Linked DNA regions of Elephas maximus indicus. The protein of the gene in region 1 interacts with the protein of each later gene in a biochemical or structural test. Links are inferred from orthologs where the notes say so. Each region holds a gene or a part of one and is shown in the gene's direction. Other genes may lie near its edges.

Region 1 (7,341 bases):
CCTCTCTCTAGCTGAGTAGATAGAATCGCTTCCTCTATTTTTCTAGTGCCTGCTGTTTATATCTCTCTTATGGTATCCATCAGGTTTTGCTTTGCTTTTGAGTTCTCGATACATCCTTTCTATACCCACAGAGTACATATCACTTCAGACTGACTTTATCTTCATTTTTGTGTCACAGAAGTACTTAGTACAATACCTTACACAAAATGTACTTTTTAAATTAAATGGATTACTGAGCCTCTGTTACAACACTATTCAGCAATTACCTTCTAGACAGCACTGTAATTTTTGTACTCTTTCTTCACACGATTTAAAAATAATAGCTAATATCTGTTCCTTCTTAGTTGACAATGTTTTTCACATTATCTATCTTAAGCTTTAAAAAAATGTATTTATTTTTTATACATTTTTTGAGATATGCTAACCATACAGATGATAATATACCATCACCCAGATGTAACAAATGTTAAATTTGTCGTGATCACTTCAGACATTCTATTAAGAGAAAACTCTTATTCATTTCTTTCCCTTCTCTCCCTCCCCAGAATTTCCATTACCCTGGAGTTGATGTGGAAACCCTGGTGGCACAGTGGTTAAGTGCTATGGCTGCTAACCAAAAGGTCAGCAGTTCGAATCCACCAGGCGCTCCTTAGAAACTCTATGGGGCAGTTCTACTCTGTCCTATAGGGTCACTATGAGTCAAAACCGACTCAATGGCAGTGGGTTTTTTGGGAGTTGATGTATAAGCTTCCCAACCATGTTTTTGTAGTTTTATCCTATATGTATGCGAACATAACAAAGTATTATTTTGTGGTTTCAAAAGTATACAGAAATTATATAATGCCGTTATGTATTCTTTTAAAATATTTTTAGTGTGGTGAACTATACATATATACATATATCACAAATCATTTCAACCATTTTTATGTGTACAATTCAGTGACATTACATTCCATGTTTCACAACCATCACTACTGTTTCCAATTTTTTTCATCACCCTTAGCAGAAACTCAGTACCCCCTAAGCAATGCCTACCATTTCCCCCTCTCACCCGCCCCTGGTAAGAATTAATAAATTTTGGTCTGTATGCACTTACCTATTTCATATACAAAAAAACCAAACCTTTGCCATCTAGTCAACTCTGATTCATTGTGACCCTATAGGACAAAGCAGAACTGCCCCATATGGTTTCCAAGCAGTGGCTGGTGGATTTGAACTGCCAACCTTTTGGTTAGCAGGCAAGCTCTTAACCACTGCACTGCCAGAACTCTCCTATTTCATGTAAGTGGGATTAAACAATATTTGCTCTTTTGTGTCTGATTTATTTCACTCAGCATAATGTTTACAAGGTTCATCCAGGTTGTTGCACGTTTCAGAATTTCATTTCTCTTTGTGGCTGCATAATATTCAGCTGTACGGATATATTATATTTTATTATCCATTCATCTGTTGATGGACACTTGGGTTGTTAATACCTTTTGGCTATCGTTAATAATGCTGCAATGAACATGAACCCAAACCAAAACAAAACCCAGTGCTGTCGGGTCGATTCCGACTCATAGCAACCCTATAGGACAAAGTAGTACTGCCCCACAGAGTTTCCAAGGAGCGCCTGGCAGATTCGAACTGCTGACCCTTTGGTTAGCAGCTGTAGCACTTAACCACTAAGCCACCAGGGTTTTCATGAACATGAACACTGGCATACAACTATCTGTTTACATTCATGCCTTTAATTCTTTTGTATATATACCAAATTGCTGGGTGTCTTAGTTATGTAAAAAAAAAATTACCGCTATAATAGAATTACCACAAGTGGATGGGTTTAACAAACAGAAATTTCTTTTCTCACAATTTAAGAGGCTTGAAGTCCAAATTTGGGGAGCCAGCTCTAGGGGAGGCTTTCTCTCCCTAAGCTCTGGGGGAAGGTCCTTGTCTCTCCAGCTTGTTTCCTGGTTCCTTGGCGATCTCCACGTGGCTTGCCATCTATCTTCCCCCATATCTGCTTGCTTAACTTGCTCCTTTTAATACCTTGTGAGACACTGACACAAAACACGTGCTACACTAATCCTGCCTCAGTAACGTGACAAAGATAACCCATTCCCAAATGGGATTATAACCACAGGCATAGAGGTTAGGATTTATAACACATATTTTGGGGGGATACAATTCAGCCCATAACACTGGGTCATAAGGTAGTTCTAAGTTTTTTAGGAACCACCATACTGTTTTCCTCAGCAGCTGCAGCATTGTACAATTCCACCAGCAATGGATGAGGGTTTCAATTTCTCCACATTCTCGCCAACACTTGTTGTTTTCCTTTTCTCTAATAATGCCCATTCTAGTGGGGGGTGAAGGGGTATCTCATCGTGGTTTTGATTTTATTTATCTCTCTTATGACTTTGAGCATCTTTTCATGTGCTTGTTGGCCACTTCTTTGGCGAAACGTCAAGTCCTTTGCCCATTTTTTAAGTGGGTTGCCTTTTTGTTGTTGAGTTGTAGAAATTCTTTGTTATGTATCCTTTTGCAATTTGCTTTTTTTCCGCACTCGATATTGCTTTGAGGATTCATCCATTTGGTATGTATCGTACCCTTCATTCATTTAAACTATGAAATGGTATTCCACTATATGACTCTAAAAAAAAAAAAATGACTCTACTACCTCTTAATCTTTACTGCAATCTTTTGCAGTAGATATTAATCCCATTTTATACATGAACAAATCTGAAGTATGGAGAGGTTATGAAACTTTCTGAGATCATGGTTTCTAGAAGATGGAATGAGGACTTGTACAGGGTCACTAATTTGCAATCCCATGTTGTTTTTTCCACTATACCACTCAACAATTAATTCAACAAATACTTAGAGAAGATCAACTACGTGCCAGGCACTGCATTTCAACCTAGAATCTAGCAGTGAACAAAACAGACAAGACATTGCTCTCCAGGAGCTTAAATTCTAAGTGGAGGAGATGATTAATCAAATAGTATGGTTCTAAGTGCTATGAAGGAAAATAAGGTAGGATGAGGGGAACAGAGCGTGTGAGTGTATACGTGTTGGTCTATATAAGGAGGGGCTCTTTGGGGACACCTGGAGGAAGGGGACAAATAGGGACAGGCATTCAAGGTCAAGGCAGAGCACACAGCAAATGAAAAGGCCCTAAATCAGGAGCATGTTTGGTTGTCATTCTAAACTTTGGAGGGTTTTTTTTGATACTGTATCAGCAATTATTTCATATGCAAAATAAAAAACAAAAAAGCAAATGTAAGCACACTGCATGGCTTTACCTGGTTAAATATGTATTTTTGACACGTCAGTAGTCTCTTATAATGGCCATTTTTCAAGTAAACAAATTGGGTTGAGCTAGACTATGTCTAGAGACAAAATCTATTGATTTACTTTAAAAATTAAATCACAGGTAGTAGATGCCCATAAGTGACATAAACATACGGAGTATTGCTGCTGACTTGATGAGGCATACAAAAACAACCCAATCTCATTTTTAAATGTTAAAGACTGGGGGGATCCTCAAGGAAACATAAGAGTGTCTTCCAAGGAGAAAATATTGCTGAAATAGAAAGGATATGGACAGGGGCGGATTATCCAATAGGCAAGGCAAGCATGGTGCTCACCTTGCTTACCAGATCATCTGTAGTGAGCAATTTCACATTCCTTCATCACATCAAAGATCCTGCTTCTAGGTATGGCTGGCATCTCTCTCCCAACCCCACAGCACCTTCTGATACAATCAAACCCTCTTTTCAAATTTACGATCCCTGACACAGACAGATGACCCAGTAAGCAAGATAAGCACGGGCTTACTTGTGCTTACTTCCTATTCTGTAGTGAACAACTTCACAGAAACCCATATGAAATTGTTCATTACAGATTAGTAAGTAAACACAAGTAAGCCCGTGCTTACCCTGCTTATTGGATAATCCTCCCCTGGATAGGGAGGAACCCACCTCTTGCTTGGATTCTCTCAGAAAGGATGCCAAGAGTGTGGTGGTAAAAGGAACAACGAAAACCTGAAGGCAGGTTCGTAGGTCGGGGAGGGAGTCACGCCCTGGGGAGACCTGGCCTCTAGTCTTGGTTCTCAGTCATTCAGTGTTCTCAGTTCTCGCGTTTATGCAGCCAGGGCGTCTGGGCAGTTCCCTGCCAAGCCTCCTTCTCCCCAGATCCCGCGGTCTTGGTTTCTGAGCCTCCCCGGCTGCGAGCAGCAGAGTCTTCCCCTCACAGTCAAGGCTCCGCGCCTCCGGCCCGCGCGGCGCTCGGGAAAGCTGACCGACGCGCCCCGCCTCTCTCCCCGCCCCTTTCGCCCGTCGGCCTCCCCCGGGTCCTGTGCGGAAAGGAAAGTCGGGCCTGGTGAGCGGGACCAGCGGCGGCTTCCGGGAGGAGGTTTGGGCTCCACGGGACTCCGTCGGGCCCCGCATTCCCGCCAGAGGCAGCGGTGCAGACGCCGGGAGTCCGTGTGGATCTCCTTGCCGAGGGCCGCGCCGCCTCAACATGGGCGAACATGGCCTGGAGCTGGCGTCTATGATCCCGGCTCTGCGGGAGCTGGGCAGGTAGGGCCAGGCCGGCTGTCTTCAGTCCCTTCGTCCCCCACCCCTCCCGTCCTCGGTCCCAGCCGGCGGCTCACGTGGGGCTCCCCCGCTCTGCAGCGCGCCGGCTCCGGTCTCCTCAGCACCGGCCCGGGCCCTGTGGAGATGCCCGCTGGCTGAGCTGGGCGCTTCTCCCTCAGAGACCGGGAAAAGACCCGAAGCGTAGCCGGAGGCCTGAGGGAAGCCGGTCCGAGAGGAGGAAGGCGTCTGCCGGCTCCACCTCATCTCTGCCGCGGCCCGGAGCTTGCCCCGACGCGGGGTGAGGGGGGTGCCCTGCTGCAGCCGGAGAGAGGGGTCCCTTCGGGTCACTTCCTGGTCCGTTTTCCACACTCAGTTGCTATCGAGCGTTTTGGAATTCATGGTTACACCGTGTGTGAGAGCAGAGCCCTGTGTGCGCCGTACGGTTTTCCTCCTAGCCGCCTCTGGGTAGACTCAAACCTCTAACGTTTGGGTTAGCAGCCGTTGTTTGCACCGCCCAGGGACTCCTCGTGTTTACCTCCACTTGTCAGCCATACAAGCACATTTAGTCTTTTTCAGTTACATAAATAAGGAGATAAGAGACCTACACCGTTCTTGTCCCGATTGCATCACCCTATTTTTGTGTGTGTGAATTTTTTCCACTTTGCACAAATGTTGCAAAGATACTTTGCATTAACGTTCTGTAAAGTAACGTCTACTTTTGTAAAAAAAAAAAAAAAGTAAAAGTGCTCTTTTTATTAAGTCGAAGTACAGATTTTCTCCTTCAGGCTCATTGTGAAGTTCCTTCTGTTTTTCCCACCTTGCTTTTTTATGTAATGTAGAATTAGCTTCCCTCTTTTCCTCCATGAGATTTATTAATAAAAGTAATAGTATCTTGGATTTATACTTAGTCTGTTTCATCAACAGAGATTATATTACCTTTCATTTTATTTATTTGTAGCCATTTCAAGAGAAAGAGTAGAAAAACTGACCCATATAGAATTGTCTAAAAACGGACACTTCTCACCATCTTTGTTGCTATCACCATAATTTGTTATCTGGAGTATTACAGTAACCTCCCAGCTGGCCTCTCCATTGCTACTTTTGCCCGTGTACAATCTATTTCCCACTCAGCAGCCAAAGTGATTTTTTTTTAACTATAAATCATACTCTAAATTATATAATATTCCTCCCCTGCTCAAAACCTTCCTTTGGCTTTCTAGCACACTTAGAATACAATCCAAACTCCTTACAAGGCCTCTAAGGTCCTGCATAATCTGGCTCCAGCCTGCCTCTAAACTCACTGCTTTCTGTCCCTGCCTTGTTCATTCTGTTCCAGTGGCATTGACCTTGTTTCTCATACACCAAAGTCATTCCTGCCTCCAAGCCTGTTTCTTCTGTCTGAACACTGACTGGCTTTGTTCAGATGTCGTTTCAGAGATGCCTTCTCTGACTTCCCTATTTAAAATTGCTTTGCAATCAAGATATTTTTAGAGATTGATAGTTGCAATTAAAGTGTTAAATGGCCAGTGGGATGGGGATGAAGATCTTGGGTGCAGCAACACAAGCCACTAGAGGACACCTGGATGATGACCTGGGAGAGGAGTGTTTGAGATGGAATAAACTCATTGCCATCAAGTCGATTCCGACTCATAGAAACCCTATAAGACAGAAATGCCCTGTGGGGTTTCCAGGGAGCAGCTGGTAGGTTTGAACTGTGGACCTTTTGGTTAGAACCCTTAGCTCTTAACCACTCTGCCACCAGGCTCCTCCCCCTTGTATCAGAAAAAAAAAAAATCTGGGTGGGAAGGAGCCTAGGTTTTAAGGAATGGAAAGAAGGCTGGAACATACTGAATGAAGAGGGGAGTGGTATAAGATGAAGATCGAAGGACAGGCAGGGGCCAGATTATTTAGTGCCTTACAGACTAAAGAGTTAGATTTTATTGTAAGTGCAGTAGGAAGCCTTTGAAGCTTTTTAAGCAGAGACATAACAATTGAATTTACCTTTTAAAAATGTGTTTTATCTTCTCTCCCCTTCCTAAAACCCTTCGATGTCTCATCGCCCCCTGTGCAAAATCCAAACTCCTTAGCTGGTCCTCTGAGCTTTGACCCCATTTTACCTTCTAAGCTTCATCCTCAGTTACGTCCTTTCCCTTCCTAGAGCCCTGGTGGTGCAATGGTTAAGCACTTGGCTGCTACCTGAAAGGTTGGCAGTTTGAACTCAGCCAGCGACTCTGCGGGAGAAATACCTGGCAGTCTTCTCCTGTAAAGATTACAGCCTCGGAAGCCCCATGGGGCAGTTCTACTTTGTCATATAGGGTTGCCGTGAGTCGGAATTGACTTAATGACACATGTCAACAACAGAGTTCCTAGAGCAGGCCGTGTTCTTGTTGCTGAGCCTTTGCACATGGCTCTTTCCTCCCCTTGGAGCACCCTCCACTTCTCCTTTGTGTGTTTCAGGGTGATGCAAATGGTTTGTGCTTACCTGCCAACCAAAAGGCGGTTCGAACCCATCCAGTGGTCTGGTGAACTTCTTTAAAGATCACAGCCAAGAAAACCCGATGGAACAGTTCTACTCTGTAACAGATGGGGTTACCATGAGTTGGAATCGATTCCACAGCAATGGGTTTTGTTTTATTTTTCCCTTATTTTACCTGCCTGACCCCTTAAGGACTCAGCTTTGTCTCGCCTCCTCCAGAAAGCCCTGACAGATAGGCCCCTCATCAGGATTGAGTGTCCCTTTTGTGTTCTTTCTTGGCGGTATTTGTACTTAACCATACTGTGT
Region 2 (8,015 bases), on another chromosome or scaffold:
GAGACTGCCTCGGGAGAGAATACTGAGGGAAAAGGAAAAAGAGCCTAGGCTGGCGTCTTGAGGAACTCCAATATTAAATGACGAGGCAAATACTCTTCTTTGATTCATATTCCTTTTCAGTGCACTGAAACTTCAATATGATTCTTGTGGATTATTACACTTTGCTGCTAGGAAGCTGTATCAATTTATCATGGAAAAACTGGTTTCATCAGCAGTTCTCCATCATTTTTGGAAACCCTGTAAAGGCAATTCACAGATCCTGTAGTGCTTTCCACTGTTTTTCAAACTGGAGGTCAGGACTCAGTGAGTCATGAAATCAATTTAGTGGGCCTGGATTAGCTTTTTTTTTTTTTAATTGAAAGAAGCAGAAAATACCAAAGTGCATCATGTTTAGTAAGCATCTAGGCCCTCTTCCTTGGTGAGCTCATCCAGTCTCATGCCTCTAAATGTCATTTACAATTCTCAAATCTGTATCTGTAGCTCAGGCCTCCTAAACTCCACTCATTTAGACATCTCAATTTCCACATATCTAAACGTAAACTCCTGATCTTCCTTCCCAAAACAGCTCCATCTGCAGCCTTTCTAGGTGATGGCAATTTTATTCTTCCACGTTTGACCCTTTAGGCTAAAGTCCCTAGAGTTATTTTTTTATTTCTCTCATTCTCTAACACATCACGTCCCATCTGTCAGGCAGAATGCCCACCTTTCATATGGGAGAACAGGGTTCAATTGCAGGCCAATGCAACCACCACCTGTCTGTGGAGGATTGTATGTTGTTATGATGATGAACAGGTTTCAGCAGAGATTCCAGACTAAGACAGACTAGAAAGAAAGGTCTGGTGATCTACTTCCAAAAATCGCTAATGAAAACCCTGTGGATCACAACAGTCCAATCTGTAACCAAGGCTACCACCCTGGTCCAAGCTACTATCTCATCTCTTACCTGGACTGATGCAGTACCTACCCAACAGGTCTCTCTGCTTCTCTCCTTCCCCCCTAGTTTATCCTCAACACAGCAGTAAGCGTAATCCTTTAAAACAGGGGTCAGTAAGTTTTTCTTAGAGGGCCAGACAGTAAATACCCTGGCCTTACAGGCCAAGAGGCAAAATCAAAGACATTATGTAGCTACAGGAGAGAAAACAAATTTCCACAATTTTTTGTTGACAAAATTAAAAACATAATAATAATTGTGTACAATGTTTTGTAATGCAGGTCTACTCATGAGAAAAAAATTTTTAATGATAACATTTTACTTAATTGGGGTTCAAGGTCAGTGTTCTCCATCATTAAATTGGTTGCAAATGTTTATGTGTAGAAACTATTCTTAGTTGGGCGATACAAAAACAGGCCAAAACCAAAAAAATCAAACCCACTGCTGTTGAGTTGATTCCGACTCATAGTGACCCTACAGGACAGAGCAGAACTGCCCCATAGAGTTTCCAAGGAGTGCCTGGCGGATCTGAACCGCCAATCTTTTGGTTAGCAGCTGTAGCACTTAACCACTGTGCCACCAGGTTCTCCCCCCCCCCAAAAAAAAGGCAGTGGGCTGGATTTAGCCTGCAGGCTGTAGGTTGCAGCCCCGTTTTAAAAAACAATCATATCACTCTTCTCTCAAAACTCTGTGCATTTGCTTTCTATTGCTTCATACAAATTGCCAAACTCAGCAGCTTGAAACAAAGCTCGTTTATTACCTCACAGGTCTATAGGTCAGAATCAAAGAAGGCTGAGCTGAATTCTCTACTTAGGGACTTACAAGGCTGAAGTCAAGGTGGGCTCTTATCTGGGAGATCAGGGGAAGAATCCAATTCCAAGCTCATTCAGACTAGTGGCAGAATCCAATTCCTTGTGGTTGTAGGTCTGAGGTCCCCAGTTCATTGCTGGCTGTCAGCCAAGGGCCACTCTGAGCTTCTGGAAGATGTTGGCGTTCCTTGCCATGCGGCCCCCTCCATCTTCAAAGCTAGCAATAGCACACTGAATCCTGCCATGCTTTGAATCTCTCTGACTTCCCCTTCTGTTAACAGTTGGGAAAAATGCTCTGCATTGAAAAGTTTCACCTGATTGGGGCAGGCATCCTCAGATAAGCTCCATATCTCAAGGTCAACTGACTTGGGACTTTAATTACATCTGCAAAATCCCTTCATTGCAGTCCCTAGATTAGTGTCAGATTGAATAACCAGGGGACAGGAATCTTGGGGGGCCATCTTTAGAATTCTGCCTACTACACCCCGCAAAAGCTTCCTACTCAGAGTAAAAAGACAAGGCCCTTACCAGGGTCTACATGATCCGTGCCATCTGCTCTCCCCCAATCCCCATGCCTGCCCCATTATATCTCTAGCCTTGTTTCCTACTACTCTCCCTCTGGCTTACTCTGTTCATCCACATTAGCCTCCCTGCTGTTCCCTCAACATGCCAGACACATTCCCAGCGTAGGGTCTTAGCTCTAGTCTCTGCCTGAGATGCTCTTCTCTTAGCTTGTTGACTCCTTTACCTCCAATCTTTGCTCAGGTTTCACTTTTTCAATAAGGCATACCCTGACCACCCTACTTAATACTACCACCTGCACTCTTGCTCCTGGCACTGCCTATTTCTCCTACCCTGTTCCACTTTTTTTTTCTTTCCCTTACTGTACCTATCACTTTTAATATATTACATACTTCGTGATGTTTATTGTCTCTCCCTCCTTGATAGAATTAAGCTCCACAACTGTTGACTATTCTGTTCGCTAATTATTCCAAGTATCTAGCACTGTACCTGGCATAACGTAGATGATTAATAGGTATTTACTGAATGAATGAAGTTTCAGGAAATTCCTATTTCTGTTTTCTACATATGTGTGTAGTAGATTGTGGTGTAAAATGTATTTCTTACTGAAGGTGCAGTCAAGAGAGTTTGAAAACTGCTGGAGTTAAACTATATGACCTATAAGGTCCTTTCCAAATTTGAGCACTTAACAAAATTTCACATGCAGCTAGTAAATCTCCACCATATCCTTTGGGAGATGGCAACGTTCACAACCTAGTGACTATAGCAAGGCACCGAGTTACTGAAATACAACACTGACACAGAGAAAGCTAAATAGTCATCCTTACCTGTTCTGTACGGTTGCTATGAGTTGGCATCGACTCGACAGCAACGGGTTTGGTTTGGGTTTTTTTTTTTTTTTTTGGTTCTATGATTGTGGGTTAGAAAAGACTGGAAACAGGAAGAATTGTTGAATGCCCCCAAAACACAAAAATCTGAAATTAAACTTTCCACAAAAAGAGATATTACTTCAGAGCAAACAAAAGAGAGCAAGTTCCAGATCACTTCTAGTCACTTACTGAAAAAGCGAAGAGCAGTGAAGGAAGACATCACTCAAAGTCCCTGCTGTAGAAATTGTGTCCCGAATGGACGTCGGGAGCAAAGCCCACTTCCTGAGTATATATGCTTTCCACTCATCCACAGGCAGATCCATGCTACTTTAGATCTGTAAAATGAGTAATAAGGAATCAGATTTCTATAAATGCACAATGCCAGACAATTAAGATTTTATTCAAGCAAAGTTAACGCAAAAAAAAAAAAGCAATTCTTTGGGTCTTTTCTATATTTGTTTATATGGATGTTTTGTTGTCTCGTGGGGCAGTGGTTAAGAGCTCAACTGCTAACCAAAAGGTTGGCAGTTTGAATCTACCAGCCGCTCCTTGGAAACCCCATTGGGCAGTTCTACTCCGTCCTGTATGGTTGCTCTGAGTCAGAATCGACTTGAAGGCAGCAGGTTTTTGTTGTCTTATAACAAATGTCTGAGGAAAGATCTATATCTTCTCACACCAACTCACTCAATAGTAACTGAAAGCCTACTACATTCCTGGTACCACGTTAGGTGATTGCTAATCCATGATGAATCAGAGTAGATAGCTACCATCACTGTCCTCTTGGAAGCTCTACCTACTTAAGTTGCTCAAGTCAGAAGTCTGGGAGCCACCAGATTTTTCTTTTTTACTCATCCCGGCAACTATTCAGTTAACAAAGATTTCTCTCCTACGGTTCAGTTTTCTCCTTCAACTCCCAGGCCATTCTTTCAGTACAGGCCTCAAGATCCCTTGCCTGACATCCTTTCCAGCATCATAACTAGTCTCCTTGCCCTCAGTTCCCCCGACTTTGAGAAAGATGTCAGTCCTCTGCCTTAAATGCATCAATGCTCTTCCTAGTACACAGGGAAGACCAGTACCAACTCTTCATTATTTGACCCTTGGCTTCCTTTCTAATTCTCAAGTGCACTTCCTTCTCTGTACTCTACCATACTGAAATACTCATAAGCTACCTCTTGTCCCCCAGTTTGCGAGGCTATTTCATCTCTCCAAAATTTTTGCAGAGTCTATTCATTCGGCCAGGTTCACCCTACTCTCACTGGGTGTTCACCTGGTAAACTCCCATACATCCTTCCAGGTTGTATTCATACGGCACCTCCTCCTGGAAGCCTTCCCTTGATCTTCCATCTATGATTGCAGTATACTTTGTGTCTGTCCGGTGCATACCTACTTTTAGTTTGGGCTACTCACGGTCGGTGGCTACTCCCCCGACAGACTGTGCTCTCCTCTGAGGGCAGGAGCTGGGTCTTATTTACCTTCAGAGGCCCCCACAGTGCCAAGCTCAAGGCCTGGCACCGGCAGGCGTTCGCACTGGGCTGGCCAAGGAACAAAGTCACTGCTTTGCCTATATTTAGCAGCAGAGTTCCCAGGGAACAGCTCTAGCTCTCCTCCGGGCTGCCAGTCTGTCTCCCCCTAAAGACAGCGCTGGGTACGCTCCCAAGAGCCCGTTCGGGAAGCTCCCGGAACTGGGCCCCTGGCGCCCTTAGCTGTTTCCGCGCAACTCTTGGCACGTCCTGCGGCTCGGCGCTCCGCCCCCACGCCCCATCGTCCCGCGACAAGACCCCGCACGCCCTTGGGCGGGTCACGTGGGCCGTCCACCTCGTCTCGGCCAGTCCGGTTGCTGCTTGGCCCCTGGGCCCGCCCCGGCGCCGCACGCACGTCGGGAGGTGGCGTGGCGCGCGCAACTCCTTGGGCCAATCGTTTTGGAGAGCGCGAGACGCCGGGGAGCGGAGTGGGGGCTGCGGAGGAGCCGGAGCGCCGGAGTTAACGCGGGGGAGCCATGGTCGGCCATCTGAGCGAGGGGGCCATTGCGGTGAGCGGCCGCCTGGCAGCCGGGCGAGCGGGACGGGGAGCTGTGGGCCCTGGAGGCAGGGAGTTTGGAGATGTGCGGAGTGGAGGAGCGGAGGGGATCTAGGGGCGGTGGGGAGAGGACTCGAGGGGAGTAGATGGCGGAGGGGAACCGCCGAGGTGTCTTTCTTGTAGGGTCCATCACTCATTCGTCGAAGGATTTTACCATCGTCTTTTAAACATGGTCACGTGTTTCGTATCTAAGAAAACAAAATAAACACCTGACTCCCCGATTTCCCTGCGCCTGCCACTGTCTCCTCCCTTTTCCCCATCTCAGCCAAACTTCTGCAAAGTTGTTTTCAGCTATTTCATTGCTTCACCTCGCATTAACTCGTTAACATGCTCCAATCGATCATCCCCCGATCGCTATAGAAATATCTCTGGCTTAAGTTACTGGTGGTCTCCACGTCGTTAAATCCAACAGATACTTTTCAGTTTTCAACTTACCTGAGTTCTCAGCAGCGTTCTCAGTCTGTCGAGCATCGCTTTCTTGTGGTTACACTCTCTTCTTTTGGCTCCTGTGGGGCAGCTTGGTTGATCTTTGTAAATTTTGTTGACTCGAGGCTCTCTTCTAGGCCATCCTCTCCCAAGGCAACCTCATAACCATCTATGTATGGCAATCATTCACACATTTCGTTGTCCCGAGCTGCCTTTATGCTGAAAACAAGCCTGTTTACCGGATATCTCAAAGGCATCTCAAATTCAACATGCCAAAAGCAAACCCGTTATCTTCCTTAGTCTGGGTCTGTCAGGGTTCTTTATTTTGGTGAATGGCACCATTGTCGGTTAAATTATGCTAGCCAGAGATTGAGAAATCATTCTTGTGACGTCCTCCATCATCCTGTATGTCCGTTTACTTCACCAAGTCCTGTATATCTTACCTCCACATGTGTTTCTTAAATTCGTTTATTTCTCTCCATACACAGTGTCATGTGTTGCCTGGATTACTCACTCCCTACTCAATACCCTCTTCCCTTCACTCCTGTCATCCCAGATTTTCACTGCTCTCTCCCCAGCCTCATGGTCTTTTTTAAGTTCCTGGTATATTCCATACTCTTGCCTTCCGCGGGACCTTCGAACATGCTTTTCCCTCTGCCTGTTGCCTGAGTGGTTCGTCACTCTCCATCTCTCTAGCTAACGTTATCTTCAAATCCCAGCTCAGCTGGGACTTCCTGAGGGAAGCCTTGTTTGACCAAATTTTGGGAACGTACTGCTTCTTCACTTACCACCTGTGTAACTTTGGGCAGGATACTAAATGTTTCTCTGCCTCCTTCCTCCTCTTAAAGTGAAGGTGATGATACCGAGTGCCTATTCCATACGTGGGAGGATTTAATGAGTTATTCCATTTAAAGTGCTTAACCCAGTGCCTGATACATAGTAAATGCTCAATACATGTGTCCTATTTTATTTATTTTGTTGTTGAGAGTATACACAACAAAACATACACCAGTTCAACAGTTTCTACATATACTATTTAGTGATGTTGATTGCATCCTTCGAGTTGTGCAACCATTCTCATCCTCCTTTTCTGATGTTACCAATTTTTTATAACCACTGATTTAATTTTACATTTGTAGGTTTATTTAATTAAGAGCAGTTACTTTTTGACTCTCCCACTGGATTGTAAATTCCATGAGGCCACTAATTATGTTTGCTTTTTTGCTCAGCATAGATAGAATTGCCAGCACTGCTTTAGCTACTGGGGATACTGTGCCCGATGTTCACTAATCACATGAATGCATTAACCAAAACCAAACCTGTTGCCGTCTAGTCAATTTAGACTCGTAGTGACCCTGTAAGACAGAATAGGTTTCACAGTGTGGCTGGCAGATTCAAACCGTCATCTTTTGGTTAGCAGCCAAGCTCTTAACCACTGTGCCACCAGGGCTCCCTCAATGCATGAGGCAGTGAAAACAAAGGGATACTGATGGATGGGGAAGAAAGGGAGCTTAGGGGAAAGCAGGAGGGGGAAGAAGGGTAGGTGGAGGCCTGTAAATACTTGCTAAAATTTGGGGATGCAGAAATGCTGAGACCTGAAAAGTGATTGCAGACTGTAGTCCTCATTCTGTCCTATAGGGTCGCAGTGAGTCGGAATTGACTTGACAGCACAGGGTCATTGGGTTAGTCCTCATTCTGACTCAACAGCACTGGGTCACTGGGTTAGTCCTCATTCACTTTGTAGTTGCTACCTTGCACCTTAAAGAAAATTATGAATGGTTCTTCACTTTTAAAAGGAATGATCATGAGATAATTTAAATTTGCTGAGTGATTTTTCCCTGTATTCAAAATTTTAGAAACATATTTCCAGTGTTGGGTAAAGTGTTACTTGAGTTTTACTCAAATGAAGGAAAAAAAAAAAGACGTTTGCATGTGTGTATGTGTCTATCCTGGCAGCGTGTGGCGTGAACTTTTGTGAACTTTGATTATGAGCTAAAACAAGTAGTATCATTTAAGTGCAAAAGACACAGGCCCAAAGGGGAAAGAAAAGAGCACACGAATAGTAGAGGCTTTTTGAGCAAAATAAAAATAAAAGATTATGCGTGGAACTGTTGTGATAAATGGAATAAATGGCATTTCTATCTTAAGTACTTGGGTTATAGAAAGAAAGGGGAAGGAACTAATATTTCTGCTTTCCAGTGTGCCAGACACTTTGCAGATAACAATCAGTACTTATATTAACCCTGTAAGGTGGGTTTTTATCATTACCCCCATTTTACAGATGAAGAAATGAAAAGTGCAGAGACATTGAATCATTTGTCTATAGAGCAGGGACCCAAATTCATGTGCCCTTGACTATCACATTCTGTTGGCATGGTTTTT

What was found.
Region 2: the proteins of ATR (region 1) and RPA1 form a complex in vitro, tested with the Homo sapiens proteins (2 studies listed by BioGRID, with this or other methods). The link is inferred for Elephas maximus indicus from reciprocal best matches to the Homo sapiens genes ATR and RPA1.

The regions. Positions count from the first base shown.
Region 1 is NC_064841.1:17,233,370-17,240,710, forward strand, and holds the start of ATR (serine/threonine-protein kinase ATR), read left to right. Parts: upstream 1-4,334; 5' UTR 4,335-4,503; coding exon 4,504-4,562; intron 4,563-7,341. UniProt on the Homo sapiens protein: Serine/threonine protein kinase which activates checkpoint signaling upon genotoxic stresses such as ionizing radiation (IR), ultraviolet light (UV), or DNA replication stalling, thereby acting as a DNA damage sensor.
Region 2 is NC_064837.1:19,912,374-19,920,388, reverse strand, and holds the start of RPA1 (replication protein A 70 kDa DNA-binding subunit), read left to right. Parts: upstream 1-5,001; 5' UTR 5,002-5,127; coding exon 5,128-5,160; intron 5,161-5,642; exon of another isoform or gene 5,643-5,954; intron 5,955-8,015. Other genes in the region: SMYD4 (SET and MYND domain-containing protein 4), read right to left, coding at 3,321-3,454. UniProt on the Homo sapiens protein: As part of the heterotrimeric replication protein A complex (RPA/RP-A), binds and stabilizes single-stranded DNA intermediates that form during DNA replication or upon DNA stress.